Caenorhabditis elegans: one gene and its partners. The protein of the gene in region 2 purifies or fractionates together with the protein of the main gene of each other region. This does not show direct contact. Each region holds a gene or a part of one and is shown on either strand. Other genes may lie near its edges. The genes, in order: wapl-1, capg-1, dpy-26 and mix-1.

The links.
Region 1: the proteins of capg-1 (region 2) and wapl-1 purify together in Caenorhabditis elegans (affinity purification with western blotting, with the first as the bait; one study listed by BioGRID). This does not show direct contact.
Region 3: the proteins of capg-1 (region 2) and dpy-26 purify together in Caenorhabditis elegans (affinity purification with western blotting; 2 studies listed by BioGRID, with this or other methods). This does not show direct contact.
Region 4: the proteins of capg-1 (region 2) and mix-1 purify together in Caenorhabditis elegans (affinity purification with western blotting; one study listed by BioGRID). This does not show direct contact.

Annotation. Positions count from the first base shown.
Region 1 is NC_003282.8:4,441,135-4,448,171, reverse strand, and holds wapl-1 (Wings apart-like protein homolog 1), read left to right. Parts: upstream 1-2,431; coding exon 2,432-2,472; intron 2,473-2,527; coding exon 2,528-2,708; intron 2,709-2,747; coding exon 2,748-2,946; intron 2,947-2,995; coding exon 2,996-3,150; intron 3,151-3,196; coding exon 3,197-3,390; intron 3,391-3,435; coding exon 3,436-3,905; intron 3,906-3,956; coding exon 3,957-4,045; intron 4,046-4,094; coding exon 4,095-4,171; intron 4,172-4,219; coding exon 4,220-4,451; intron 4,452-4,505; coding exon 4,506-4,580; intron 4,581-4,629; coding exon 4,630-4,755; coding exon of another isoform or gene 4,756-4,764; exon of another isoform or gene 4,765-5,087; coding exon 5,088-5,420; intron 5,421-5,471; coding exon 5,472-5,546; 3' UTR 5,547-5,810; downstream 5,811-7,037. Other genes in the region: CDC50 family protein chat-1, read right to left, coding at 1-72, 143-453, 744-840; htz-1 (Histone H2A.V), read right to left, coding at 1,464-1,716, 1,767-1,936. UniProt on the Caenorhabditis elegans protein: Regulator of meiotic chromosome structure and function, playing a role in sister chromatid cohesion, possibly via antagonizing the coh-3/-4 association with axial elements in nuclei during late prophase, cohesin association with chromatin, DNA double strand break repair and polar body positioning following meiotic divisions during oogenesis.
Region 2 is NC_003279.8:7,633,266-7,642,321, forward strand, and holds capg-1 (Condensin complex subunit capg-1), read right to left. Parts: upstream 6,521-9,056; 5' UTR 6,499-6,520; coding exon 6,251-6,498; intron 6,210-6,250; coding exon 6,107-6,209; intron 6,050-6,106; coding exon 5,843-6,049; intron 5,795-5,842; coding exon 5,624-5,794; intron 5,566-5,623; coding exon 5,463-5,565; intron 5,120-5,462; coding exon 4,895-5,119; intron 4,848-4,894; coding exon 4,427-4,847; intron 4,375-4,426; coding exon 4,225-4,374; intron 4,170-4,224; coding exon 3,743-4,169; intron 3,693-3,742; coding exon 3,097-3,692; intron 3,037-3,096; coding exon 2,856-3,036; intron 2,319-2,855; coding exon 2,148-2,318; intron 2,091-2,147; coding exon 1,730-2,090; intron 1,671-1,729; coding exon 1,573-1,670; 3' UTR 1,227-1,572; downstream 1-1,226. Other genes in the region: lrp-1 (Low-density lipoprotein receptor-related protein), read left to right, coding at 1-164, 406-524; F26A3.1 (Lipid droplet-associated hydrolase), read right to left, coding at 7,160-7,284, 7,331-7,514, 7,562-7,669, 7,715-7,950, 8,119-8,301, 8,352-8,502.
Region 3 is NC_003282.8:12,444,662-12,453,902, forward strand, and holds dpy-26 (Condensin complex subunit dpy-26), read right to left. Parts: upstream 6,675-9,241; 5' UTR 6,630-6,674; coding exon 6,588-6,629; intron 6,539-6,587; coding exon 6,196-6,538; intron 6,141-6,195; coding exon 5,161-6,140; intron 5,108-5,160; coding exon 4,386-5,107; intron 3,928-4,385; coding exon 3,310-3,927; intron 3,265-3,309; coding exon 3,171-3,264; intron 2,683-3,170; coding exon 2,614-2,682; intron 2,565-2,613; coding exon 2,460-2,564; intron 2,412-2,459; coding exon 1,896-2,411; intron 1,844-1,895; coding exon 1,541-1,843; 3' UTR 1,224-1,540; downstream 1-1,223. Other genes in the region: C25G4.3 (Ribosome-binding factor A), read right to left, coding at 1-425, 1,089-1,223; Transcription regulator spe-44, read right to left, coding at 7,624-8,054, 8,102-8,314, 8,612-8,820, 8,881-8,977, 9,039-9,207. UniProt on the Caenorhabditis elegans protein: Required for both chromosome condensation and segregation and for X-chromosome dosage compensation depending on its binding partners.
Region 4 is NC_003280.10:10,822,393-10,828,241, reverse strand, and holds the start of mix-1 (Mitotic chromosome and X-chromosome-associated protein mix-1), read right to left. Parts: upstream 3,997-5,849; 5' UTR 3,859-3,996; coding exon 3,765-3,858; intron 3,679-3,764; coding exon 3,595-3,678; intron 3,436-3,594; coding exon 2,504-3,435; intron 2,453-2,503; coding exon 2,301-2,452; intron 1,841-2,300; coding exon 1,735-1,840; intron 1,686-1,734; coding exon 1,546-1,685; intron 747-1,545; coding exon 590-746; intron 555-589; exon of another isoform or gene 369-554; coding exon of another isoform or gene 246-368; intron 156-245; coding exon of another isoform or gene 33-155; intron 1-32. Other genes in the region: VM106R.1 (BTB domain-containing protein), read left to right, coding at 33-155, 246-368; R06F6.12 (uncharacterized protein), read left to right, coding at 4,163-4,224, 4,275-4,452, 4,498-4,940, 4,986-5,074, 5,127-5,233, 5,407-5,781. UniProt on the Caenorhabditis elegans protein: Essential protein required for both chromosome condensation and segregation and X-chromosome dosage compensation depending on its binding partners.

The DNA of each region.
Region 1 (7,037 bases), on a different chromosome or scaffold from region 2:
AATCGCACCGCATGGAGCAATTGGCTTCTTTGTCGCAGGGTCAATGTCGAATGGAGCACAGTCCTTCACGTTCTGAAAGCAATTTAAAATTTAATAAACGAATATTCTATAGCGTCGCTGCTTCAAATTTGAATCAATTTACCGTCAAATCTCCAAGATATTGCTGATCATTCCGGCTTTTCACGTATCGCCGATGATTTTGATAGTAATTCTCGAGATTATAGTACAAGAAGACGTCTCCGTCGAACGCATTTGGTAAATTAATTTGCAATTGGCACGGTGATAAGCAATTGGTGTATTCGACGGTGAACTCGGAAACCGCGTCGGAAGCGATGAATAGGAAGACGCCGATGGGTAGAAAGATGGCTCCGATGACGAAAACCGTTGGAATTACTGTGGTTGCTGTGAGAATCGGTTGCCATGCGGGGAGTTTTTGCTGTCGAAGGGCGCTTGCTGCAATAAAAAGGGTTTTTATGAAGCCAAGCGTGGTATTTTTGAAAATATTTGAGACCCCAATCAAACAGGATTCAGTGGGCGGAACCGAAATTGTGAATTTTGCAGCCAACGCACGCTTTTTCAGCAACCCTCGCGCGTTTTTTACCGTGCGAGGGTTGCGCAAAAAGCGCGCGGGTGTTGCGAAATTCAAACTCTCGGCTCCACCCACTGTGAATTCCGTTTTCGAAAATACTTCAAAACTTCTGGCTTAACTGAAATTTGTTGGAAAAATTACACGAAAAACTCACCCTTCGGCCGATTTTTCAGCACTTTTTCCGTTTGAACCCCGTCAGCACCAATACCACTCACTTGCGTCGACGTCGGAACGGCGTCTCTCGGCGGCATTCTAAACCAACTTGATATTTTTGTGAACATTTTAATCGAAAAATTAGAAATGAAAAGATTTGGTCGAAAAGGTTAAAAAAGGACGAATGAAACGCAGTTAGTTCACAAACAACTGACTTTATGCGTCATGGTGAGGCCTTTCTTTGCTTCTCTAAATCTCTTTCTTCGCGTTTGCCGAATCGATTTTTCCCAATGTTCGTCCTTTTTGAAACCTGACTCATTTCACAAACAACTGTTTTTTGCCAAAATTTCCAATTTCCAAGCTCGTAGTGTTTTATGTAAAATAGCTTAGAAATTGCAGAATTCAACTGACCAACGACTATCTGCAAACATTTCCATTCGAGATCTTTATTCATTTAAAAGTGGGAACATTTGAAATGCTTGATATACAGACGGTTAGCATAGTCAACTTGGAGTTGAATTGGGGACTGAGTAGCGGCCGAGTATCTGGCTTTACAAAATTTAATTTAAAAAGTGAATGGAGGAATGAAACAAAAGAATATTGGATGAGGCAGTGATCAAATTAATTCGTCGCCTATTGGGGAGTGATAGATGAGAGATTAATTTTTGGTGAAATTGAGAAAAATATTAGATTATTTAGATATTTGAGGTATGTCCAGCATTTATTGTGGTCCTTGTCCTGGAGCTCCTGGCTTTCCTGGGACTGGGGCTCCCTTCTTGTTCATCAAATAACGATGGATGTGTGGGATGACTCCTCCTCCGGCGATGGTGGCCTTGATGAGAGTGTCGAGCTCTTCGTCTCCTCTGATAGCAAGATGAAGATGTCTTGGGGTGATACGCTTCACCTTAAGATCCTTGGAGGCGTTACCGGCCAACTCGAGGACTTCGGCGGTGAGATATTCGAGGATGGCAGCGCTGAAAAAACAAATTTTAGAATTTTATTATCAAGAATATGGAATCAGTACCTGTATACTGCGGCAGTAGCTCCGACACGTCCGCTGGAAGTGGTTCTCTGCTTCAAGAAACGATGGATACGTCCGACAGGGAATTGGAGTCCAGCGCGAGCACTTCTCGATACGACCTTCGATTTGGACTTTCCGGAGTCCTTTCCGGCCTTTCCTTTTCCTCCAGCCATTGCGAACTAGATTGAAGCTTCTGAAAACAAGAACAGAATGTTTAAAAAAATCGATAAACGTTCCACAAAATGTTGAATTACGATAAAAGCGAAGAATCTCCAGAGAAACAATGATGAAATAGTGAAAAATGGGTAAAAGCAGTTCAGAAACACCAGAAAGAATACATTTTACTTGATTTTCGATCAAAATACAAACAAAAACATTAGTGCAAAATCGTAGTGCAATTTATGCACAAATGAACAGGAAAACATTCGAACGAAGAAATCAACTCTCAAAAGCGCGCGCAAACGAGAGACTCCTCCTTTTTGGCACGCTGCCAGCTAGTTAGATACGCAAGGGTCTCGCAACGAGGTGGGGTACGGTCGGGTGTGTAGATTTACGGCGGAGCTCTCGGTTTGCAATTTTTAAGCGCGCGAACCGGTATTTTCAATAAAATCGGTTTTAAAATCGAAGCTTGAAGGGTTCCGGTGACAAATATTCAAATTTCAAGAAACATGTCGTCGGATGCTAATTCGGACGACCCATTTTCCAAGCCGTAAGTCGATAAATTTTTTAAAAACGGAGACAAAAAATAAAATGATTTTTTTCAGAATCGTCCGAAAAAGATTCCAAGCTACACTAGCACAACAAGGTATAGAAGATGATCAGCTACCATCAGTACGCAGTTCCGACTCCCCAGATGTTCCTGACACTCCAGATGTACCTGTGAATCAGCTTTCATCACCACCACTAAGCCTTCCGGAAACGCTTTCAGAAGGAAATGCTGAAACAGTAAGCTTTATCCAGCCATAGTTTATCATATCCTATTAGCTTCAGAATCTGAGCGACGACAGCGAGCCGGAGATGCTGAGCCAATCTTCCACCTCCTCCCTGAACAGAAGAATGGAAGATTCGGCAATTGATCCGTCTAGGGGGACAAGGAAATCTCAAAGTCGAGGATTCGATTACGATCCGGCTGGTGAGAGGACAACGGCTCCTGTTCAGAAGAAAAAAAAAGATGAAATTGACAGTAAGGATATTATAAATTCAAATTTAAATGAACGTTTATGGTGTTTCAGTGGGTGGTGCGAAATTCTTTCCGAAACAAGAGAAGAAGCACGTTTATACACACAAATGGACAACAGAAGAAGATGACGAAGATGAGAAAACTATTTCTTCATCGTCAAATCGCTATTCCAGTAGACCAAACCAGCCAGCAGTCTCTGCACGACCGGTTAGTCGACTCCAATGTAAATGTATTCAGCAGTAAATTATTTCAGCGTCAGCCGGTTTATGCGACGACATCCACCTATTCGAAACCTCTTGCTTCTGGGTATGGATCTCGTGTCAGGCATATCAAGGAGGCTAATGAGCTGCGGGAATCCGGAGAATACGATGATTTTAAACAAGATCTCGTCTACATTTTGAGCAGTTTGCAATCTTCCGACGCATCGATGAAAGTCAAGTGCCTCAGGTAGTAAAAAAATGTTTTTGGACGAAATTAATTATCAAATTTCAGTGCAATATCTCTTGCGAAGAAGTGTGTCTCTCCAGATTTCCGCCAGTTTATCAAAAGTGAGAATATGACAAAAAGTATCGTCAAGGCGCTTATGGACTCTCCGGAAGATGATCTATTCGCGCTGGCAGCTTCGACAGTTCTCTATTTGCTCACAAGAGACTTTAATTCAATTAAAATCGATTTTCCATCGTTGAGACTTGTCTCGCAACTTCTGCGTATCGAAAAATTCGAGCAACGTCCAGAAGACAAGGATAAAGTTGTGAATATGGTCTGGGAAGTGTTCAATTCGTACATCGAAAAGCAAGAAGTTGGAGGACAAAAGGTGTCATTTGATATGAGAAAGGAAAGCTTGACTCCATCATCACTGATAATTGAAGCTCTCGTTTTTATCTGCAGTCGCTCTGTGAATGATGATAATTTGAAAAGCGAATTATTGAATCTCGGAATTCTCCAGTTTGTAGTTGCGAAAAGTGAGTTGGAGTTTTTTTGACCCAATATTAAAAATATGAAATTAATTTCAGTTGAAACAAATGTAAACTTGATTGCGGACAATGCCGATGATACGTATAGCATTTTGATTCTAAATCGATGTTTTAGAATTTTGGAATCAGTGAGTCAATTTTCGAATTTCACAATTTTTCATATTTCCCTTTTTTCAGAGTTCCGTTTTCCACAAGAAGAATCAAGCGTTTCTGATATCTCATCGATCGAATATTCTTATCAGCAGCCTGGCCAAGTGAGAAATCGTTCAATTAATGCAAAAAATTATTATATTTTCCTTCAGATTTCTCCAAGTAATTCTCGATAGAGTTCATCAACTTGCAGAGGAAGAAGTCAAAAAGTACATCTCGTGTCTGGCCCTGATGTGCCGTCTTTTGATCAACATCTCGCACGACAATGAGCTATGCTGTTCGAAACTTGGTCAAATTGAAGGATTCCTACCAAATGCGATCACAACTTTCACATATTTGGCGCCGAAGTTTGGGAAAGAAAATAGTTATGATATCAATGTGATGGTGAGAATTGAAATTCAAAAATTGGAAATAAGAGTTTTTAATTTAAATTTTCAGATGACTTCACTTCTGACCAATCTTGTGGAACGATGCAATGCGAACCGAAAAGTTCTGATAGCCCAGACAGTTAAGGTTTGTGAAAAGAAATTTGAACTTTACATTAAAAATACTTTAATTTCAGATGGTGATTCCCGGGCACGACGTTGAAGAAGTTCCAGCATTGGAGGCGATCACACGGCTATTTGTCTACCATGAATCTCAGGCTCAAATTGTCGATGCCGATCTGGATCGGGAATTGGCGTTTGATGTATGTTGAATTCAGACCCGACGAAAAGGATATTAACGAAAAATTGGCAAATTAACCGACAAAAAATTTAAGATTTTGAGTTCTAAATCCCTGGCAGTTCGTAGAGTCTGCAGGAGTTGTGGCAAACTACGCAAGACTCCTGAAAAGTTGCGCAAGATTATGCAGGAGTTGTGCAAGATTGTAGCAAGAATCCAAAACTTCTATGCTACAGTACACAGGAGTTTCACTTCATCTGGGACTGTTTTATTGTAGAACACGCTGGTCCCGTGCCAGATACCCTTTGAATTAATAATCAAGATAAGATTTAAAAAATAACAAAAAATATTTTTCAGGAAGGAGGATGCGGAGACGAGGAAGAAGAAGAAGAGGGTGGAGACGAAAGCAGTGACGAGGATGGTGTCAGGAAAGACGGACGGCTTGATCGGAATAAAATGGACAGAATGGATCAAGTGGATGTAGTTCATGCTCTTCAACAAGTCATGAACAAAGCCTCGGCTCATATGGAAGGCAGTGTAATCGCTTCTTACCACGCTCTTCTCGTCGGATTCGTTCTCCAACAGAACGAGGATCATCTCGACGAGGTTCGGAAGCACCTGCCTGGCAAAAACTTCCAAAATATGATATCGCAATTGAAGCGGTTGTACGATTTCACGAAAGCTACGATGGTAGGAGTCTGAGTTATTTTGAATTTTCAATACATAAAAGTGATTTTTCAGGCGAAGCGGGTCGAATCAAATTCGGGATTCCGGGCTATCGAGCGTGTGATTGAGTACCTCGAGCGGCTCGAGTGATTTAATGTTTATTTCTTGATTCTTTTTTTTCTGTATAATGCTAAACTTTTTCTCATTTTTCAATTCACCTGTATCACTTATAGCACACTCTTTTTCCCCTGGCACATTTTTCAGGTCACTTTGATCTCGGTTATTTTGTTTTTTTTTTGTTGAAATGTGTCCCTATTTGATTTTATGACGAGGATTGGTGATTATTTTGTGAATTTATGATAAATCCGTGATTGTCTAAACAATTTTCGTTCGTTTTTATAAAACTTACTATTAGCTGCGGCGGATTATATAAATTGGCATTGCGGCGAATTCTATCACCAACTCGCAAGCTAATACCTCTTCAAGAGTTTAAAATTCAGTATTTCCTAAACTACAGTAAGCATACAGTACTCCTACAGTACTAATATTATAGAAACACTTAATTCTAAGAATGCGTATTGCACAACATATTTGACGCGCAAAATATCACGTAGCGAGAACTACAGTAATTCTTTAAAATAGTACTGTAGCGCTTGTGTCGATTTACAGAAATAATTTATTAATCGGTGAAATTTTTACAAGAAAAACACATAAATTACGAAAAACAATTCGAAAAAACCAGAAAAATTAATTTCGAAAAACGAGCCCGTAAATCGACACAACCGCTACAGTAGTCATTTAAAGAATTACTGTAGTTTTCGCTACGAGATATTTTGCGCGTCAAGTGTGTTGTGCAATACGCATTCTCAGAATTTAGTGTTCCCGTAATAAAATGCCTCGACATTATCCTTAACCTTAACCAACTCCCAAGCCAATACCTCTTCAAAAGTTTACAATTCAATGTTTCCTAAACTACAGTAACTCTACAGTAATCCTACAGTACCCCTACAGTACCACTACAATACCTCGGCATTATCCTTCACCCGCGGAGCTCAAATTAGAAGGAAATTGTTTTTCAGCACAATGAAGGCTCATAACTTCCGTTAGCGAAATTTTTGTGATGTTTCGTATAATAGCCTTGTCAGAGTCTCAAATTCGACTACACCACCGTGTACAACAAGAGAGTTAATTTTTTTTGTGTATACTGAAGGCGAGAAAAGAAGAGAAGATCGATTAGTTTATTACATTCCAAGACTAACAAATAAATAATATGCTAGTAAATGAGTTCACGTTGATTGATCTTCTTTCCGGGTCCGGACCGGTCCCACCTAAAATTTCATTCACAGGTTCACCCAACAGAATTCACCCAACAGTTTTTGATTCTTAATTTATCGAAGTTTTGCAAGATTTCCCTGAACGTAATTATTGCAAGAAATTTGGGTGTGAATTAAATTTCACAATAAAAAATTCCCGGAAAATTAGTTTTCTAGGGTAGACTAATTCTATCGTGACACAATGGGCATCACAAGAGAGGAAGAGGGGAAAAGAAAAAGAGCAAGAAAGATCTGAAAATAGGATAATAATGGGGTCAGATCATCAGTCTCCCTCTTCCATTCATTATTGTAACACAGCCATTGTTCT
Region 2 (9,056 bases):
AGAAGATGTTGATATGTCATCACCACCACCATCAAATGATCAGCCATCCACGTCAGCATCTGCAATGTCACCAAACAGACCATCAACGTCTGCTGCGTCATCTTTTGTGCCACCAACATTTGATCAAGATGAGATTGAATTAAAGACTGCTGATGAGATTATTGGTGAGTTGCAATAAGAATTACTGTGATATGTGATATTACTGATATCTGACGGGCTCACATGGTGGCAGGCTGTCCCATAACTACAATAAAATAAGTTACGCACAAAAAAGTGTGACGTCGTACGCTCTCACCTTGCGCACTGGTTAAAAACGATGTGTCTCAATTCCCGCATTTTTTGTAGATCACAATAGATTAAAGTAAATTAAACGAATATCTGAAGTATAATAATTTCTATTTGCAGTCCCAAAAGCGGAAATCTCGAAGCCACCAATTCCAGCTCGACCCAAAAAGGAGAAAGCTGATCCTCTACGAGTAGACAATCCACTTTATGATCCAGATTCAGAAGTTTCTGATGTCTAATTCTCTTTCTCTCGTATTCTAATCAAAACTTCTCTGATTCTCCACTCTGTGATACGTTTTTTTTTTCATATTTTGTACATGATTTTCCTATATTTTTCAGTTTTTTTTGTTTCAAATGTTTTTCCCAAAAAAAATTCCTCTTCTCAAAAGTGCCTTCCCCCACACATTTGCTCCCTGTAACTCAATTTTGTGCCCATTTAGATATTATTTTCACTAGAAATTTCCATATCTTTTCCCCTCCATCCCCGATCCCCGCGTGGTATTGATCACACGTGTAAGCTTCTCACTTTTTTTTTCATATTTTCACCAAAATTTCTATTAGAATCATAAATAATAATAAATTATTATAAACTTTCCGATTGTACTTGAAACAGGTATTAAAGGTGCACCAGTTTGTCACAACGGGTCTCGCAGCGAAAATTCATTTTTTAACGTATTGATATTTATTCGAAAAATTAAGAGTTTTCAGTAGAAAGTTAAATTTACATGCTCATCACTGGAGCTCCGAAATCTGTAAATATATTTATATCTGGAAAAAATCAATTTTTAATGTTTTACCTCATCCTCTTGACTAGCCACCAATTTGTATCTTCTGCACATCGAGATAATCGCCGAAATTACTAAAACAACCATCATCAGCCCCGAGATTGATGCGTAAATGAACAAGAATCGATAGTAAGTGCCATGTCCAGAAGGGTGTTCGATTGAAATCTACGAATTTATTTGATAGAATTAAGAATTTTCTGTGGAAGTTAACGAATTACAAAAGAAAACTTTACATCGAATGCCTTAGTTGCATGTAGGGTAATAATGATGATGAATATGAAGAGACCAAGTGGAGAATTTTGCATTATTGTTGGGTGGTTTGTATAGTCGAATAAATAATTTCTAGGAAATGAAATTAGAGAATTAAGAAATATGGCGGAAAAGGTAAAGTTATTTAAATTCATAAAAATTGGGAAACGTGTTCGAGGAAAAAAAGGTTAAAATGTAAGTGGTAATAAATAACGAGATCGAAAAGCACAAGTCAATTTAAATTATTAATTTCTCATTTTTCACTTCTCAGTTTACGTGCACTTCTTGGAGGTGCTGTGCGAGCTGCAACTGCAGTTGGACGGGTAGCTGTAGTTGGACGGGATGGTGGTTCTGAAAATATTCAGTCCGTTATGAAAAACCAAATACTGAAGCGATCTGTTCAAACTCACTTTTAGTATTTCTGGGTGGACTTTTCAAAATCTCCAACGCATCCTCTTCAACTAAAGGTTTCTTTTTCGTGGCAGACGCTGGAGTTGCTCGTGGAGCTCTCGGTTTTCTAACAGTAGCGGGTCTTGATGGGCCAGGCTTATCATCTTCTTCCATATTCACATCATTATCAACTGCGATATCCGTGCTGATCAAGTTCGCATTTCTTTTGTTGGTTTTGGACGGCGCTGCTTCTTTTCTTAAGTCAGTTTTGCTTGGCACTTCTTCAATTTCATCTTCGTTCAATCCGAGAATTTTCGCTATCTTTCTATGAGCCTTTCGAAGTTCGTTGTATCGATGCTTGTCACCGTCTAATTCGTGGAGCTAAAAATTGAATGTTTTCAAATTAGAATAATTTATAATTATTTGGTATATACTTACAAATATATACGATTCTAAATCTCCATGAATTTTTGTGAGAGCTGATCTACTGAGACTCTGATATTCCACGAAGTTAAGAGCACAAATATAATAATCGACAGATGTTGAATCAGGAGCTCCAGCCATTTCGTGAAATATGTCATCCACAAGGTCGACGTGTGTTGGTTTACACTGAAAATTAAATCATTCATAACTATTTATCGGTAGCACAACTGAAAATTTTTAGGTTTTCGTTTTTTTCGAGTTTTTTAAAATCGATTTTTTGTCGTTAACCTGTCGTTAACTAAAAACCTCATACAATTGTAAAAGTTTACACCTTTTTTTTCGAAAAATGGCACTAGGAATTGTGATTCCGTGTCCAAAACGCAAAAAAATCCCCAAATTTGATTTTTTTTTTGAAAATTGCACTGAAAACTGACGGAAAAAATTTCGGGATTTTTTGGTGTTTTGGACGCGGCGCACAGTGATGTCGTTTTTTTTTTAAATTGTTTTCTTTAAAAAATGTATTTTCTGGATTAGAAAATATATTTTTGCTCCAAAAAAACTGTTTAAAACTTAAAACTTTGAAAAAAGGCAGGAGGAAAAATATTCGAAATTTTTTTGTGCACAATCCTTTCAATTTTCAACAAAAAAGTTTTAGACTTGCGAGATTTTCGCTTATTTTTCGCACTAAAAATAAATTATCGGATTCAACTCTGATCGGCATACCTTCTTCTGTTCTTCCAATGGAAGCGTGGAATGACGAGTCAATGCAACAAAAGTGGCTGCACATCTTTTAAGCTTTGTAACCATTTCATGGCGATTTTCAGTCAACCGTTCGGGTGTCGTAGAGTTGGCCCACATATCGAAGAAATTGTGGAATGATTTAATGAGAAGAAGTTGATTGTTTCTGAAAATAACTTTTTAATTTTTTTCATCAGTTTCCCAGGAAATGAGAAGCCAAGCTTACTTGTTGATAGAGCAGAAGAATTTGAGCATCACAATGATCGTACTGCGAACTTTAGCGGAGAAGCGATTAGTGATCGCGTATGAAGCTCGAGTCATAAGTGTAACCATTGTACGTTGCCATTTTTGTTGATTCGGGTCAATTTTTGTATTCAAGAAGAGTCTTGAAATTGCTTCAACTGCTCTTAACATGGTTTCACATTCTCCTGAAACATGTGCATTGACAACAATATCCGATAGAAATACTGCAAAATTGGGTTGCTTTGAATTCCAGCTGAACAGAGCGTCAACTTGATCGCCATGCTCAATTTGAATATCAGTGAGCGCAGCAATTAATGAACACTGAACTGGTTCATCTTGGGTGTTAAAGCTCTTCATCATTTCACGAAGAGTATTTTCTGCTTGATCATAATCATAGATTGCACCAATACCAATACATTCAGTACAGAGAACACGAGTACTCAAATCTTTCGATGAAATACCCTCGCGAAGCTTGTTGTTGTATCTATTCTGATAGGTTGTACTCCATCCAAGTAAAATTCCAGTTTTCAATAAAGCATTCAATACTTTCAACTCGTAGAGATCAATAACTGCGATTCCCTGAAACATTTTCAAATTTTGAAAATTAAATAATCTATATAAAATCTTACATCTTTGTCTGAAATTGTTCGTCGGCCGGTTTTGCGTGTTTCCTCTTCTAAATCTTTTCGAACCTTTGTCTCTCCAACGGGTACACTATTTTCAATAACTGGAAACTGTCCACTTTTATATTTCGATCTCATTTCTTCAATTCTATCATTAAACAATGTGAACAGTGCATTCGGATCTTCTTTGTAAAATTGTGCGAGTTCTTGAACGATGAGATCAATCACTTTTTTCTGATAGAACACATTCATCAACATTGAAATTAACATTTGCTTGTATGCATCAACTCCAGGTTGATCTGTTGGTGCATGTCTCATCACACATATTATATTCTCAACAATTGACATTTGCAGAACGAAAGTGTGATCCTCGTAGTCTGCTCTTTGGCTAATGTTCGGATAAACATCCAGATTCTTGACTCGAACGAGAATTCTGAAAAATAAAATTAATTGTTACTCTTATAAAACAAATAGTAAGAAAATCATACTTTTCCACATGCTCTACCATAGTGCGCAATGGACTGACGAAACGTGACATGGCGTTTATCTTATCAGCATCATTCCGTTTTCTATCGGAAATATAATCAACAAGACATCTCCAAAAGAAGATCATGGCTCGATTGGTGCTTGGATCTTGTCTGAAAATGATAATCTTGCTGCAAAAAACCATGAATCCAGCAAGAAACTCACGTATCAGCAAGCTCGCTGTCATCTAAAATTGATCCAACAGTACTTTTAGTAATAATCGGCACCGCACTTGACTTCATTTTTTCTCTCAAATCGCTAATTAAAACCTCTGCGAATGTGTTAATCGGATCCGCTTGACAGACGTACATTTGACGAATAACATCAAGTGTATGAGTTATCAATCGTCTCAAGTTTGAGTGACCTTCCAATGTTTCAAGAGCACCCGTTAGCCATAGCAATGTAAGTGCTTGGGCCGCAAGAATATATCCTTTCATTTTATTCTCTTCTCCTGTTGTGGATTCAGAATTAGAATTCAAAATGACAACATCATTGGAATCTTTGCTCTTTTGACTTTCGCTCCATCTCGTTGACAAATTACGAACCCAATTCTTCAGAACTTCCTTTGCCGCATCTCGAATATTTACTGGAAAATTACAATTTAATATCATTAGTCATAAATTACAAACAAACCTTCATGGTCTTTCAGGCATAAATCAAGCATTTCAATTTTTTCGCGAACATGTTTGTTTGGCCTGAGGTTTGAAAACTGTTCAAGTGCTGCGACACGAACATTGAGACACTTGTCATAATAGACAATGTCTGAAAGTAGTCTAACATCTGTTTCTAATGGTACCATTGATTGAACTGCAACAAGTCGGCATTCCCATGCTGTGTCTCTACAGGAACGGAGAAGAACTGAAATTTGTAATTTAAAAAGAACAAACGCTGGTATTGTATAGTAATTTCACAACACCTTGGCATGCTAGGCGCACGGATTTCTTTATATGGGCCAAGTTTCAAAATACGTATGAATTTTTCATTTAAAATGTTTGTTTTTCCTGTGAAAAGGATTAAAAAACTGATTTTCAACAACTTTGAACAGTAAAATGCAAGGAAAAAACAATGAAGCAGCCGCAAAATTCAAAATTAAACTACCATAAATTTTTTTGTGCTTTGATCCAAAAAATATATGGTAGTTTAATTTTGAATTCTACGGCTGCTTCATTTAGTGCGCCTTTATAAAAGTTTGAAAACTTACGTTCTCTTGGTGAATGTTTCATAGCATCTACTGGCCAATTCGATGGAATTGGTATTTCTTGCAAGAATCCTAGGCCTCGAATAGCTGGAACTCTGGCGGTTTGCTGAAAAAAGTTCAATTTCAGCTTTTCAGAATTGAATCAACTTTTGAATGAAACAAACCTCCTTGTCAAGCAGTGCTCTCTTCAATTGTAAAAACATTTTAGCTGCAATCTTGACTTCAAATCCAGAATATTCACCCTCAGTTGTTAAATATCGTTTCCCTGTCTCGAATATATAACTGATGAAGCAGGTCGTGTTAATTCTCGCAGCAACATTATCACTATGTCCCCACTGAAAATAAGTTTTATTATGCGGATTTTTATTAAATTGAATACTCACAGTGTTAATAAAATTGATAATAAAATCGAGGAGATCCGATGGAAGCTTGAAAGCTTGAATTTCAGTTATTGTCACTGCGATTAATTTAAAGACACGAGCCCGATGCTCAGGAACAGTCACCTCTTCGATAATCATTGAAAGTCGGACATCTATTTCATCAAGGAAAACTTTCATTAAATCGACCTTTTTCTTACGATTCTGATCAGCCTGAAAATTGGATAATTTTTAAAATTATTTTTATTTCGATTTTTAAAATAAATTAACCTTTTTAAATGCTGCAATCAGTTTCCGCGAACTGGTATGTATTTCATCATTAATATCATCACGAGATTGAAAAACTGTTCGAATTGATTCTACGACTCTTTTTCTATAAAATACTTTAGTTTTTTTTTTCATTTTGATACTTACTTTATGAAAAGTGCTGCAGAAATACAAGCTCGATCCTCTTTTGTCATGTTTTCATTGATTCTAAGAGTGGATACACCTTCGCTCAAAACTGTATTTTCCGCATCGTTTTGATCATTGTTTAATTCTTCATTATTCAAAAAATCAGCACTTTCGTTGAATGATTCATCTGAAGCCACATCTGTACCAGTTGATTTTTCCTCACGAAGTGCTGGCAACTTCGGCCCGCGAATTCGCTTCTTCGGTGGCATGAGAGGGGTGGGTTACTGAAAATTTGAAAATTGAAATGAATTAACAAAAAGATAGACATTCAGAAAAAGAATAACACATGTCGAATTGTTAAAATATCTTGTTATTCTCTGCATTTCCACTGATAGTGAAAATACCGGGGCGACAAATGATCTGTATATGTCCCAAAAATGGAAAATTACAAAATATCTTTTTAAACATTTAAAGACTCGTGTATAAAACAGTTTCCAAAGAAACAAAAGAACGAGGTAATGACTGAAACGACTAGAGCACGCCAATCTGCTGTTTCGCTCTCTTCGATTTCAAATTTGCATTAGAGCGCACATGCTTTCGCGCCGTTTTATTTATTTTTTATTTAAAAACGGAACTTTCGGAATTGAAAAGGGGTTTTTTAATGTTTACTAAGCCTAAGTAGACTAGAATTCAGTAGAGAGCAATAAAGTTTGTTTCGTCACCACTTAATCCTGGCAGTAATAACTAGAGCTCCTGTTAAATACTTAAATAAAATCAATTAATCAATTGAAGAAATATTAACAGGTGTTAGAAACAAACACATAGAAAAGGAAAAACAATAAAATGTGCAAATATTTTTATATTTATTAAAAGATAAAATTCTAGGTAATGCAATCACAGGTTGAAGTACGGAAAACTCGGAGCAACTGATCAATCGAAATATTTTATAACATTTCTCGCCATAATGTCTCCTTCAGAAATAACAAAAGCGTGTTCACAATTGTCTTCGTCCAATGTGACCTGCTCCTCACCAAGTCTGTCCCGCATGGAGTATCCTATAAATTTTATTTTCAATCTACACAACGTTTTCAAGGTCAATACCATGCTGCACTGGACACCATCCATCCTTGAGGCCATAATAGAAATGAACCACGTCTTGTTTTTCCAAAAGACGCTCATCTAGGTCTAAAACGATATCAAGTTCATCGTTTGACATGTGAACTATATTTCTGAACACATCCATATGGACAAGCTCAACTGCCGCATCGACGATCTCTGGGGGAGTCTGAAAAATTATGTTTTTTGTTGCTTGACATTCAAAAAAAAATTTACATTAGGATGTCTCAGGTTCAATCCAACAAGAAATTTTTTGATCGAGTTTGGCAGGTAATCCACCCACCAGCAAATCGTTTTTGTGAGCCAATCATGATGGTTCAATGTCTGAAAGTTTACAATTAAAAATTAAAATAAAGAAATTGAATTTACAGCTAAAGTTCCATGTAATCGTTTCCCATTTGGTGAGTTTGCCATATGAACTATCGTTGGAAACAGTCCAACAGCTTTTTCCACGTGGAATCCTTCTTTTATCACTTCAGGAATGATTCTTAACATCATATACGAACCAATGCTATGCCCCAAAATGTACAGTTGCTTTCCACGTGGCAGGTGCTCTTTCACAAATGATAGTTTGTGATTGACTTGTTCCTCCAGAGAAATTCGGTCTGGAAATATATTATAATCGACGTAAAAACGCGCTCCGCACCGGATCCATGAGTCTCGTTAGGTATTTGAAAAAAAAACAAAAGGGCGAAAAATACTGCGAAATCGGCGAAACTAAATAAGTTAAAAGGCTGGAGTGAACGGTTCTTCGTTTTATTTGTATTTATTACCATGATTTCGATGTTCTCCATCATCTTTCAAATGATCTGGCATTCGAACATGATTGAGACTTGAAACTGTGTAGAATAAATATTGATTTTTCAAGTTTTTCTGCTCATCTTCATCTTTCTTTATCAAATTTTGCAAAACTTCTCGTCCGAAATGAGCGTAGAATCCTTCGTTTCCGGGATTTCCTGAAATTAAAATTTTCTTAAATTTTTAAAAGCGCAATTTCCCGATTTACCTGGAATCATTAAAATAATCACTCGATTCTCGTTCTCCTTTTTCTTCTGAATTTTCAGCGTTTCGTCTGAAATATCCAACCCCATGACGGACATTTTCGTCCATTTCCCTGCTACTCGAACCCATTCCACTTTTCGAAGAATTGAGGTCATCTATATGTAAATAAATAAGAAAAACTGGAAAAATGCGGTTAGAAAGAATGATATTGTGTTGGGAAATTTTCACCTGCCTCAATAATTATTTTTAAACATCTGTAAAAAATCGATGGAGGAAGATGGCTTTATCTCAAGTTTGGAGAAGAAAACACAAACAGAAAAATAAATAAAACGTTAAAACAAGATGGAAACAGAGATACCGTATATTCTCTATTAGTGCTGCATGCAGCACTAATTTCCAGGCCCTTTTTGAGTGCAGCACTATTAGAGACTGCAGTATTACTGGAGGCTGCAGCACTAATTTTCGAACGGCTATTTTCAATTGGAGATCACTAGTTTTTAGTCACAAATGCTCACCTTTTAAGCAGAAATCCATTAAAATTGTGAAATTTTGTAACAAAAATGACCTAATAACTCAATTATGTTTGTAAGTTAACTAGAAATCTTCAAAAATATACAAAACACTCCCCAGAATGTCAAAACTATGTATTGAGTGACTCTTTCAGTAGAAAATGGGGTGCAGCACTAATAGAGACTGCAGCACTAATTTT
Region 3 (9,241 bases), on a different chromosome or scaffold from region 2:
GCTTCACGGAATAACTTGTCCATTTCCTGTTCCATCAACAATGCTTTATCCCCGATAAACTTCACTTCAGGACACGTAATTCCAATGGATTCCTCCACTCGTCGTCTTATCTGGTGTTTCGACTCTTCCAGAAAATCAACAATTTCCGAATCTCCATCACCTCGACACATCCAATAAACGGACACTTGTGTGAAAGCTCGATCAACTCGTACTCGAGTAATTTGAAGTTGTAATCGCCCGAGCATTTCATCTGTTGCGACGACTTCGGCGATTCGTTCCTCAAGGATTCTGCTCAGCTGAACAACTTTTTTGTCGTCTAAACGTCGTTGTTTTGTTCCGAGAGAGACGAGTAGAAGTCGATCTTCAAGTCCCATATCGATACCGTATCTCATGCCCATCGTTTTTTGGAAGTTTTTGCCCAATGTCTGAAATTTCTTGTTGTTGGGATGAGAAAACTGGTGGAGCCATGATCATTATTACCAGAGGTCTCGACACGAATTTCTGTAAAATATAAAAAGACATGCGTCTTTAAAGAGTACTGTAACTTTCTCGTTGCGAAAAAAAATACTTTTTTTTGATATCAAGAAGAAATCCAAAAATACAAAATATTTTGATAATTGTTGGAATGTTGAAGAAAAATATGTCATTTTCGATTTTTCGCCTCTAGAAAATTTCGAAAAAAATTGAATTCCGAAAAAGCAGCCTACATTTTAAAATCTTTTTCGTTATAGAAGAAAACTTAACGGTTTCTTGTAATTTTTCTCAAAAAAAAACACAAAATTTGATAAAAATGTTGACATTTTTTGTTAATTTAAATTGACAAAAAATTAATTTTCGATTTCTAATTTTTTTCCCGAAAAATCAAAAATGTTTTCAATTTATTTATCATTGATTTTCTAAAGTTTTTCTCTCATTTCGTTGAGCTCGCGGTTACGGTACCCTTTAAAGGCGCAGACCCTTTCGCATTTAGACAAAAATTGTCGTTTCGAGACCGGGTACTGTATTTTTTGCGCGAAAATCGCAAAATTTCGCGCCTGGGTAATAAACGAAAGTTGAATTTATATTTTTCAATCTAATTTCCAAAGAACCTTATCATATCTCCACTCGAATCTTGAAAGAACCGAATTTCCACATCCACGTCCCGTTTTTCGATTCACATAATTTCTGGGTCCCTTCAGAGCCGCCGTGCTAGTGGTAATCCATCGGATCCCGTTTCTATACATCTGAATTCGTAATTTTTATGGAATCAGTGAATGCTTTTTCGGAAGAATCAGAAAGGGTCTTTGTATCCCTAGAATTCTACAAGTTTTATGGCTCGAATATCATATTGAATATTCATTGTAAAGAGTGATTTGACAGAAAACTTAAAATTTTTGGTGTCGGGGTACTCAATTCAGAGAGAGAAAAATAAATAAAGAAACTTCGAGTTTCGAGAAATGAGAGATAAAATGAATAAATACATCGAATTGGGTGGATTCTGAGATTCAATTTTGATACCGAAAATAAATGATTTTTTATGGAGAAATTTAATAAAGTATGCTTATTCTTCCATTTCTTCTTCTTCTACGATTGCTCCGAGATCACTTGTTGTAGGTTGACCACCTGCTCCACGACCTTTACGAACTGGTACTGCCTTCGGACGTCGCATCAAATTCGAGAACACATTATTCGCATCGCTAGCCGTACCCTCGATGGCGTCCGGATCTTGAGTTCGTTTCCAGAACTCGTCTTGATCCTCGATTCTTCCCATTTTCAGACCACGTGGTAGGCTTTCACTTGAATTGAGAACAATGAAATCAGACATCCAGGATCGCTTTGATCGATCTTGAACAATTTGCAAGTTCTGAAAATTTAGAATGAGTTTGAAAAAATAAACTCAAAAAAACTAAACATACATTTTCATTGGCAATATGCAATAGGAAGCTGACGATAGACGAGGGCCTAACAGTCTCTCCCATTCTGGAAGGCATTGAAAGTGCCAACGAAAGAAGTGTATGGCATCCATTTATATGCACTTTTCTATTTTCAGTGTTAGCAGTTCCATATGTAGATGTAGTTGGTTGATTATTGGGACGCTCATCTGCTGCTTGATAATCTGGCATCTCTGTTAGTGCCTTCATCGTTTCGTTCACATCGTGATTCGATTTGTTCGGTGATCTATAGTCAAACACTGACGTCAACGTTTTGTCGGCCTCCATTGTCGGTGTTGCAGGTCTTCCGGTTTCATTACGATCATCGGCAGCTCGGATAGTTGTATTATTCATTCGTAGAGTCTGATTAGATGTCAACTGCTCCAGAACATATTGAATTGAAGGCATCGATAGACTATCAGTCTTCAGAATTTCAGCGAGACACTTCTTGTGCTTGGCGGCGTCAAGATTCTTTGCCTGGATCGACTGGCGATCGAATGACTGAAAATTATACAAACTTTTTTAATATAAATTTTTTGTTAAACTTACATCGTCAAATTCATCATCTGAATCTCCGTATTCACCACCGTATCGTTTGGAATGGATATTCGGGAACATTTGATTAATGTGACTTGCGGTCAAGGCTAGTTTCCTCTGAAAATGTTCAATGAGCACTGGAAAAAATATTCCGTCTTAATTTTACCTGCATATCCGGACCCATTTGTGCAGCAGCGAGTTGTTGTTCATAGTTTGGATCGTATCTGTCTTCGTCCTGTAATTAGATGCCGAATTATTTTGTAGTTTTCTCTCCGAAAATACGGTATCAAGGTCTCGAAAAGACGCATTTTTTGCAAAATTTTTGTTGATTTTTCAATAAATAAAATTTATTTATTAAAATCTGTAAATACACTAAAAAGGAATTGTTTTCTCGTGCTTTATTTCAATTTTTAATTAAAAAATCTGTTTTATAGAAAAATCACCGAAAACATCGCATCAACGATAGTCTAAAACTACAGTACTCTTTAAAGGCGCACACTCGGCTTCATTATAAAAAATTGTCGTGTCGAGACCGGGTACTGTATTTTTTGTTCTAAAGTCGCAACATTTCGCGTCTGAGCTATTTAACGGTATCGATCGTCGAAAACTTTTGGACTTTTGAACGAGCTTTTTTTAACTGGAAAAATCAACAACGAAAATTTTTCGATTCTCGATTATTCAGAAAACCGACAGGAAAACCGGCAGGTCTTAACAGAAACGTACGTAATAATCGTTGGCAAAATCGTCATCAAACGGTTGCTCTACGGCAGTTCGTAGATTCTCGTCCGAGTCAGAGCCAGTGATAGGCTCCGGATTTCTGAAAAATTAACAATTTTATATATATTTAATCCTAGACACTCACTCCATGCACCTGAATCCACTGAATGAAAGTAGCCAATTGAGACAATCCGAATCCTTGTTTCCTCTGGCTTCATCAATGAACAAATCTTGCTCAGCCTTTTGATTTTTGACACGTTCGAGTCGTATTTTCCCATATGATTTCTTGAAGAACATCCCGCTGTTACCGAGAAGACCCATTTCAAAAGCGACATGCGGCTTGTTTTCAATTCCCAAAGTTGGAAGATATAACTGTTGTTCCGAAAGGAAAGTGCTCTTCTCATCAGCAATTTTAGAGCATTTTGCAGCAGTAATTTCTCGTTCAATCTCGTCATCAGGAATGTCACGGAAGTAATGAACGAAATCTTCGACAGTGGCTTTTCTGCTCTTCGCTTTCTTTTCTCGCCGTTTCCGTTGTGCTGTAACCGCTGCTTGTCTCTCTTGATCACCAACGACTGGTGGAACCCAATGAGCATTGTCGTTCTTTCCGATATTTTGAATCTCTTCACGCATTTCTGCAGATGGTCCAACAAGTTGTGGCGGTGGTGCAGAAGTCATCAACTCTGCAACTTCATCGGCTGCAAGTGCAATGTCCTCAAGCTCCCGTTGAACATCTTGCTCATTTCGTTCTTCTACTTCAGTTCTGAAATTGAAAAAAAATGTGGATAGTCTTTTCAAAAATGTTGAATCTAGCGTTTTTCAAAGGTAAAATTATAAAAAAGCAAAGAGTATCCAATTAATATTGCCGGAAACTCAAAATGTCGAAAATAGGGGAAGCGCGGGAATTCAGAAAAGATTTAACTTTTTTTGCAAAATTGTTGAAGAAATCTCAAAATAGTTGTGGTTATTCATTACTCATGTGATGTAGAAAATTTTTTAAAAAATGTATTTTTATACATTTTCCCCCCTATTCGTCTAGTTTTTGTATTTTTTTGCATTTTTCGACACTCATGAATAGGTGAGAATGGATAAAAATAAATTTTTGCATTTATCTACATTAAATGAATAACGGTTTTTTTTGCTATATTGAAACGTTCTTCTGTCATTATAGGCAACAAAAAACCGAACAGAATCAACTTTCAATTCAAAATTGAAACTTACTCATCCATCTGCTCATTAAAAAGAATATCAGCCACCCTTCCATCATTTCTATTATTATCTCCTTCCATTTCCTCAACTTCAACCGGAGCTGCAAGTCGATCATCAAAGTCTACATCAAAAGCAGCACCGCCGGCATCGTAATCCATTTCCTCAATAGGCTCCATATCAACATCTTGTTGTTGCACTTGTTCCCGTATTTCTTGTTGAATTTGTTCTAACGGAACATCATCTTCAGCTGTACTATCCTCACCAGACCACATTTTCATCACATCAGACACTTCATCATTCACTGTGAAGTCTGCTGGACGATCTCCAGGATAGTTATTCATATAATCATCCGATTTCACCAAGAACAAATTCTTTCCAATTTCCGGAACCATATTTCTATACGATTCTTGCTCGTCAATCGCATTTTCATCCAATTGAGAACGAGCTTCTCGATTTACATTCATTTTTACAACATCATAGTTGGTCCATGCATCAGTTGCCTTAATCCAACCTTCGATTCCAGCCTGACGTGGATGTTTCGTGTCATTCTTCATAATTGCCTCATCATCTTCACCCCATTCTTCTGCACGTATTCCATTTTTCCAGACTTTTGATTCAAGTGTATCAGATGTGTTGAACACTTCCAGCTTCTTATCAAACATGTTGGCTAATGTTTGATCCATTTCATTCGGCTCAATTGGCAGTTTTCCAATGAGATGCTCATCGAGATCATTCTGGAAAATAATTTATATCATAAATGTATTCAGAGGCGCGCAAAAAAACTTACAGCTTCAAGAGGTGGAAGAACATATTCGTCACTCGCTTTCTGTGACACAGACGACTGAAGAGGAGGTGTAAGCCTATCTAGAGCGATCGTCTCATCGTTTTCTCCCTGGGCGAGTGGTAATCCTTGATTTCCTGGAAGCATTGACATATCCGATGCTCCTGCCACCGTCATATCCAGATTTGAAGGCCGATGATTCATCTCTGCGAATGTCAAGTTGGCGAGATCTTTCTCACGAGACGATTCCGCCAATGGTAGCGTTGACTTCTTCACATCCTTTGACATTATTTTGTATCTCCCAATAACTGGGCGATCTTTGACTTCGAGCATCAAGTAGTTGTCGAGAATTCGTGGCTTTTTGTCTAATGAATTGGTGAGGAGAGCTCGTGTATTTTTTACAAGTGAGACAGACACATCGGACGTGAAAAACCGATCATCAGCATTCTTATCGGCAATTCGATTATGCAACATAAGAGTTCGTCCATCGGGAGAATGAATTCCATAATAATTAAGAGAATGGAACGAGTTTGATGAATTGCACACGGATCCTTTCGTTGCCTTTTGAAATGTCGGGTTAGCTCTCAGCCAATCGATATTTGCGTCTTTCAGATCATGAGCCGTATCATCAGCACTTATGTAATTGGAAACATCAGAGAGAAGGTCAGCTCTGAGATCAGTTGCTCGTTTGATTGACAATGCATAAATGAGTTTTTCGGGGAAAATGTCTCTTTGAAGAAATGCGTCAACATCTTTGGAATTGGCTTTGAAATCAATTCGTGGCTCTCCGGCAATATTTTCCTCATCTTCTTTCCAATTCTTATCATTGTCTGCGTCAAGTTCGGTGGTTGTCAGAGCATCATCCATATTATTGAGAAAATCGAGCATTCCATTCATTCCGTCAACAACAGCCATTTTCTTTTTAGCTTTTCTGCTTTCCAGTGTTAAATGAATTTCTTCACCATTTGAATCTCGCATAACAGTTCCTGTAATAAAAAGAAACGATAAATTCCAAGAATATTAAAAAAAAAATGTAATTACCACTCGAGAGAGCTGAATCAATTTGTCGAACGTCGTGGTGAAGCCGATCGACTCGATAACCAATAATGCACTGAGCTCCTTCGAGCACAACTGCCATCTCTTGGATTGAAGCTTTTGCTTTGATCATATCTTCGATTGTATGAATTTCAAGCGGCGATTTATATTCGAAACAGTTGAGCTCTCCAACTTTTTTCTTATTCACAATATCGTCGATATGGGCGCCAATTTTTGTCATAATTGTTTCTGGCACCACATCCGCTGGCCTAATTTTTTTAGTTCCTCGAACTTTACGCAATGGGGTAGATCTGAAGCCATCATCTTCGTCATCATCTAGAACTTGTCTCTGAAAACATTACGTTTTTGGTAGAAGCAGAACATTCTTCTTTTTTTACTTTTCTGCGTCCAGTGACGTTGCTGGATGATGGTACATCCATTTCCCTGTAATTAAAACACAATTTTAGATAATAGAAAGCAGGAGAAAATAAAATATATTCAAACAAGAAGCACAATTCAATTCAAAAGTCCTCGTTGCTAAACAAAGGGTCGAAGGGAGACCGGAGTTTCGTAATGATGTTTAGTCGTCTGCGACTCTTGTCTCTCGTTGTCAACGCGGGAACGAGGCAGTTCGCACACTGAGAATCCAAAGAGAATGTAAAAAATTCACAAATTGATTGAAATTGTTATGAAGTAAATATATATTTAAAAAGAAAGTTTTTCTGATGCCTTCGACCGATCGATAAAGCTACAGTTCAATTAAAGGGACACATACAGAAAATATCTGTTCGTGGCGAGACCCTACAGTAATAAAAATATTCGCGAATGAAGATTTATGCTTTTGTGCGAATTTAATTCTCAATTGTTTACTTATGAGCGGAGTATTATCTCTCTCAAGAACAAAATCCGCTAGCAGATGATTAGCACAAATTCTATTCATCTGAAAACCGATTGTGCCCTTCTGAAAGCTTGTTGTTTGCTCAATGATATATTTTCGTCTCTATCTCTTTGTTGCCATGACACTTTGATGAGTATTCGTGTGAAACTCATTTTTTGGAATCAAGTCGACGCAATCAATAATGTTGTTGATGAAGGCGTCTTAATTCCAAAAGAATGAGGTTGAAAATTGAATATAAAAAAAATAAACATAAATTAAAAGATATTCCAGTATTACGTTGTGACGAGTAAGAGTTTGTAAAACATGAATAGAAATTTCAAATGAACACGATTTCATTATAAAGGCATGAAACATTCTAGAAGAACTACAAACAATTTTCACCGGTATGTTGAGGGGGGAAAGCTCACAAGTAAGCAGTGGGCTATTCCACTGGATCAGAATTTAATTATATTCTATAAAACATGAAGTTCTAAAATACATACGAAAAAATGCACACACTATTTGTGCGTTTGTGGATTAAATCCGTAATTGTTTAATTATTGAATATGACTAGGTCCTGGAAGACATTCAGATTCTGGATAATCGTCGTACTTGCAAACATCAATAAGTTCCTCAACCTTCTCTTCTGTAAATTCTCGAGCAGTGTGAAGACTCTCTTGACTTGAAGATGATGTTCTCGGCTGATATTTGACACTGTGCTCCTCGGCCAAAGTTGATTGAATATCGTTAAACATTTCGTCATGTTTCCGCTGTTGGTAAGCGTTTCGTTCAATCGATTGAACACGATGAACAACGACAGGTGGAATTCCGAGAGCGAATGCAGTACGAGTGAGCATGTTGGCAGTGGTGGGAGTGACAGGATTATCCATAACGGATTGTTTCAGATTGATTGCACTGACAATGATGTCGTCGCAGAAATGACCGATAACACCGGTTTGTTGCATTTGAGACCAGAAATTCATAGGATCTGAAATAAAAATAAATTAGTGATAAATGTTATGTCAAATAGCTTACCGTTCTGCAGACAATTGAGAATATCATTGAATGGCGTGCACTCATTGGATTCCTTATTTGAAGAAGTTGGCTCTTCATTAGATGACATTGATTGCAGTGGTGGCGCATCAATGAAGAACTCCTCGAAGAAACGATCGTCTTGTGGCTCCATTTTGACCATTTGTCTGGGCTTGTTGACACTTCCACGTGGACGTCCACGAGCTTTTTTGGCGCCTGAAAAATGATATGTTTCCAGAATACTGGTAGTTATACAAAAGGAGCTAGTTTTAGAATGTTCTAGCAATATAGAATAATGTTTCCTTTATCTGAAAAAACTTATATTTAAGTTGGAATAGTTGAAAAGATGCTCACAAATCTCAAACTTTGAGACAATATTTGAGCACTTTTCCGATTGTTCCAACTAAAATATAAGTTATTTTTAGACATAACAAATATTATTCCTAAATTTTAATGAAAAATATTGAGAGAACATGTCAAAACTAGATCCTTTTGTAGAATTATCGGTCGTACTCTTTCTATTATCATCATTATCCGCCTCTTTTCCAGCCATCTCATTTTCGATCTCATATTTAAGTTGTCCGGCTTCAGATGTTCTCTTGGACTTCCGAGCTTGAAGCACCTCTTCAGATGGAGCATTCACATAATTTCTGCTTTGACACTTTCCACTGCATCGATTCATATGCTCGTAGAAGTCGATGGTCATTGCTTCCATGTGAGTTCTAGAATATAAAGTTTTGAGAAACAGAAGTATTTTAAGGGATTATTGTCTTGATGCTCACCTCAACGAAGATCTTCCAACACGGATGCTCGCCTTCCAATCTTTCTGACGCTCTTTGTCGCCACGGATTGTGAACTGCTTCGGAGAAAGAAGATCGTCTGAAAATAATTATATTATGAGACCCATTTTAAATTATCTGAAATAAATAAAATAACGAACTTCCCACTTCAATACACGGCTGATGAATCCCAGGGCACATGAACAGGTTGAGATGCATCTTTCCATTCACGACACCACAGGAAACTGGCACAGTCGGTGACGCATCTCCTTCGGGAATTGTGATCTGCAGTGGTGTTATAGGGCGCGGAAAATCGTCGTTTGCCGGATGCTGTAAAAATATGAATTATTAAAGCGATGTAATT
Region 4 (5,849 bases), on a different chromosome or scaffold from region 2:
GACAATCAAATTGCATCAATATATTTTTCTAGGCGTGCGATTTGATGGCCGAGAAGGGTTTTAAACTCGTTGCCACATGCTGTTCCGGAGCAAACGGGCTCGCCGCCGCAAATCATCCAATTCTCACAAGCAATATGGGCAACATTAATCAGACGGTGAGTAGTAGTATGCATGTATGTGTGTGTGGGCCACTTGACGAAATTGAAAATTTCCTTTTTACATTCCCCATTTCATTTTTTTTGCAGGAGCTCATGAATCACAGAAACTGCGGGGACTATGAAGAGCAACGTTGGGCACACTACACCGAATATGTGTTTTTCCGTGAACCACAATCCGGATACATTACTCCAACTTCACGAGAATTGTAATTTGTCTACAGTTCTTGCAATTTTTTTTCCTGCTATTTATATTCCTATTTAATTTTTTTTTTCAATTTCCAAAAAAACCCTCCTTTTTAAACTTTTCTCTAAACTTTCCCTGTGGCTTTTTTTCTATTTTTTTCAAATCTTTTGTCAAATGTGTCATAGTGATAAACTTAGCCGACACTTCAAAATTGATATTTAAATTAATTTAAAAAAAAACAACTAACCACACCACCAAGAGCAATATCTGCAGCAACAGCGAATTGCTCGCATCCTGGTTTCATTTTGATAAGATGGGCGACATATCCGAATACGTCCCGCTTTTCATCAAATTTATCGATATGTAGTGGAGGACGTTGGTAGTTCAATGCATATCGACCATCCCTGGAAAGAAAAATTTGTTTAAAAAAATAAACTTCAATGTTGCAAATTAAATTTTCGTTTTTTTTTGTTTTTTGGTCTGAAAAAAAAACCAAAAATATCATTGAGACGTTTTGAAAATTTGCTATGCCGGTTCAAAATTTAAAAAAAATTATTTTTTTCAGCTAAGATCTTGAATTTTGCCAACTTTTCAGTGTAGTAACGGCCGGAATTTGGTTTTAAATAGCCACAATTTATTGCATATTGTGATAGTTTATCACGCAATTTTCCTAAATTTTGGTGCTTTTTCAGTTGATTATGCCGAAACTCTCGAAAAAAAATTCGCGAAATTTGAAATTTTAGCTGAAAAAAAGCATTAATTTTTGAAAAACAACTGTTTTAAAATTAAAAAAAGTTTTCTCAAAATTCCGAAAGAAAACTATTTTTTAAAGCTAATATCTCGAATTTTACCAACTTTTCAGTGTCATAACGGCCGGAACTTGGTTCGTAGTAAATTATCACTCTTTATTGCACGTTTTTTCGTTAATGTTGATGGCTTTTCGGTCGATTTCACCAAAAATGTGCAGAAAATGCACCTGAATTCACGAAAAAAAAACGCATAATATACTACAAAAATATATGTTTTTTTTTTTTCATATTTAAATATGCAATAAAAAGGCGATAATTGAATAAAAACCAAGTTCCGCTCGCTGCGATACTGAAAAATTGACAAAATTCGGGTTTTATTATGAAAATAGGTTTTTTTTTTTAAATTTTGAAACGGTATAACTCTTTTAAAATGAATTTTCACACAAAACCTTACTTGTATGAATTCAGAAGTCTCGTATCCATATCCTTGAGCTTAGTGATGCTCTCATGCAATTTTGCAGCGTGTTCTCGTTTCTCCGTATCAGCATCTATATTGAAACCCAATAATTGAAGTTGCTTATTGATCTCATCGACCTGAATATTTTTAAGTTTTCGGAGAAAAAAAAATTGAAATATCTGATACCTCTTTTTGATAATTATCGGCACTTCCAATGTCAGATTTACTTCTGGCTGAGAGAGTAGCTTTTTCGCCTTCCAAATGTTTAATTTGGTTGTGTAGACGTTCACCGCTGAAATAAATTGCCAATTTTTCAATGATATTCCTATTTAAAAAAGTACATTTCTTCTTTTGTCCCATTAAATTTACTGAATTTCCAAATTAATGCATTATTTTTTCGATGTTGTGTTTTCTTTCAATTTTTGCAATTTTTCAATGAAATTACATCGTTTGTAGTCAATTTTTTATCGTTTTATGTTAATTTTTCTGTTTAAAAATTGTTTAAAACCAGTTTTCAATGTAAAAATAGTATAAAACTGGTTTAAAATTTTTTAAACAGAAAACTGAAGAGAAAACGACAGAATAATTTCATTGAAAGTATCCGCAAAAAAACTATCATTGACGTTTTCAAAAAGCGAAAAAACGAAACTTTTTGTTTTTCGATTTTTCTTAAAATATCTCAAAATTTTTGTCATTATTCTTATCGACATAAACAAAATTAGATTTTTTGTTCCAATTCTCAGGAAAGTTACCGTTTCTTCGCAGCAGTAATCCCAGATGACATTTGAGACGCAGTCGACTTGCAAGACTGTATTTCACTCTCAATCGACACATGTTCTCCTTTGTCATTAGCAATTGTTCCTCTCGTTAGGGATTCGAGGTCATTACGGTATTTTGTGACGAGCTGAAATTGTTTTTTTTTAACTTTATTTTTAGAATAATTTCTCGAACTTACAGCTTCATCATCAGATTGACTTTGAATATCTTTCGAGTTAGCCGCCTTTGAATCTTCGTGTTCTTTTCGTTTTGCGTCGAGAACTTCACGATCTTTTGACAAGCTTTTGTTGATTTGTTCACCTTCCTTTTTGAGTTTATTGATTGTTTCAACCAATTGATTTTTGACAGTCTCCTTCTGAAGCATTATAGATTGTTTCGAAAGATGAGCCGCTGAAAGTGCAGCCTCTTCATGTTGATCATCTCGAGATTCTTCCATCTTTTTCTTCTCATCTTCCTTATTCTTCAAGTCAAGATCAAGCTGATTAAACTTTTCACCGAGATCTTCAATTCCCTTTTTGGCATCTTCAATCTCTTTTGCACTTTTTTTCACCGCTTCACATGTTTGAAAGTATTGAAACGCCTCGTATTTTCGGGAAAAGTTCTCTTTGAGTTTCTTGAGACGAGTCACTTCCACCATATTCTTTCTGTCTTCACGGAACTTTACCATTCTCGGATCAATACTTGATTGGAAGATTCTATCAACTTCTTTGAGTTTTGCATCTTTTAAAAACATTGTTTTCTCCGCGTCTTTCTTCTTCTGATCATACATCTTTGTTCCAGCTGCTTCCTCAACCATTCCGAGGATTTCCTCCGGCTTCATGTTTAGCACCGTAGTAATACGACCTTGCATGATGAGAAAATGTGGATTATTCACGTTCAAACCGACGCCACGGAAGAAATCTTGCATTTTTCCATTTGTGGCCGCATGCCCATTCAGTGTGTAACTCGTTGCACATCCTTTTCCAGTTGCTTGAGCTGTGATGATTCTCTGAACGACGATCTCGTCGAGATGTTCCATTCCGAACGGGGAGCATCTTTTATCAGTGTTGTCGAAGCGAACTTGGACGATCGCTTTTGTTCCACCATGGGAAATCAGCTCGTGCATTGATTCTGGAATGATATTTGACTTAATTTTTTTTTCTAAATTTCAATTTAAAAAATCTTTGCTAGAAATATTATGCTACTCTGATCTTGTGCTTTTTCAGTCCGAAAGCGCGTAAGTATCACTATGACAACAAAATAATTTTGTGATGAGAAAGAGCCACATACTTGCTCTGATATTATCGAGCTTATTGATTCCCATAATGAAGCAGATCGAATCGAGAATATTGGATTTTCCACTACCATTGTATCCTGAAATAAAACAATTATTATACTATATTTTATGCTGAAATTAAAGTTTTTCAAACTATTAGTTTTCAGCACAAAACTATACTCACCGGTGATTGCGTTGAAAGTCGGCGAAAAATCGAGAATATCGGTGTGCTTTTGGTACGATTTAAAGCCATCCAGATGGATGGATTTAATGTGCATTATGAGCGCACCCTGTCGAATTGATTTTGAACAAAAATAAGTTATAAGTCGATAACGAGTTTGAGAAAATGTTTATTTCGAAAGCCGAATGAGCTTTGAATGTTTTTTGGCGCGTCTTTTGAGAAGTGTGCAGAGTGGCGTGAGAGTGTTTGCGGACTGGAATGTATGAGATTTGACGCGCAAAAGTTGCCTTGTGATTTTTGTAATTTTTTTCTCCTTTGTTTTTTCTCCTTCGCTATAATTTAGAGTCATTTATTAATTTTTATTTTTTAATTTTTATTAAACAACGAAAATCGTTGCAGATATGGATTCCGAAAAAGAAAATCCTGCTAGCCCAACAACAGGCCGTGAAGAAGAAATTCCTGGGTAAGAATAAAAATCACATTTTCTTTCAAATTAATAAATGGAATTTCCAGATCCTCCCCAGAAGGTGTATATCCTGCCGATGAAGATCATATTTTCCACGAGGATCAGGCCCCACTTCGAGTTGAAAGTGCTAAGCATGAAGAAGAAATTGTTGAGCAGCAGCAGCAGCAGCCGGAAGATCTTGAACAAGGAGATATGATTGTGGAGGATGGTGATCAACAGTTTATGGTATTTCAAGCTTTTCGATGAATTGAAAGAATATTTATATTTCAGAATATGGTTCAAATCACGCAGGAAGACATGTACGAAGCGGGTTTCGATGTAGAAGCAGGCTTTGAGCTTAATCATCTCACCGAAGAGCAGCTGAACATTGTGGTGGCGATTAGTCAACAACGACAGGCGAAACAAAACGAGCAAGAGCACAATGAAGAAGTTGTCATAGAAGATGGTTCACATCATCACATGGTTCATCACGAAATGATTGAAAATCAATTTGAAGGTGATGGAAATGGGCCGGAGGAAGAATATGATGGGAATGGTCAGATAATCGATAATGCAATGCATATTATTCTGACAAATGATGGTGGAGTCAATATTACATCAAAACAGAAGCAATTCTATGTTTCCCCCTCCGAAATCGCCAATTTGAACATTGATTTAAACAATTTAAGCACTGAAAATGTCCATCAACTTGTGCAACTTGCTCTACCGCCCATGTAGGTCAACACGTAGAATTTTAACTATATTTTTATTATTTTTAGAAAAGAAAAAGCTCAAGATTCTGCATACAACGATCAGGCTCCATCAACAAGTTATCACCATCATCATCATGAACAGTTGGAAGCTGGAAGTGAGTTTCAGAAGCTTATTTGAACTAATTTTAATTATCCAAATTATTTTAGAATCTACAAGAAGCCCAATAATTGGAGAAACCGTTCAAATTCGGACAGCTGATGGTCGTCTTCAAGATGCGGTTGTCAAATATGTTCGAGGCGATTCGGAGTACAAGGTGAGAAACTCTTTACTTTTTCTGTTTAATTAGGCAAGATAAGCTCTGTTTTGATCCGATAAAATGTAATTATTTTCAACTTTTGGATCAAAACAGAGCTTTTCTAGAAAAAACGAAGAAAAATGCTCATAAAACTTCTATAAAGTATATTTTTTAAAGCTTTGAAATTTCAGATCCAATTAATGAATGGAGAATTCGCGTACGCCACCATCGACCAGATGCTCGTACCCCAGCGAGACCGAAGTGATCACGAGTATCAACAAGTTGCTCCGCCCGTCTTGCTCCGGAGGACGGATATGGCTTCAGTTCGAAATGCTGCTCAAAAGCGATCAGCCAACGATGATCTGTGCCCTCCAGTTCTGAAAAAGTCGTATCAGTTGGCTCCTGTCGTCGACGGACCACATCTAGTACATACTCCGAACTTTTGTTGCCCGATTTGTGATAAGAAGGTCTACCAGAAGGAGCCATCGTACATTGTTATTCGGCTACCAGCTTGTGATTCATGTACTCGTGAGAAGATTATAGTTCTTGATGAGCAAAGCAGTTGATATTCTTCATTTTTACTCGAAATTTATGGATTCATTTATTTATATGTTGCTAAAATTCTATTGTTGTA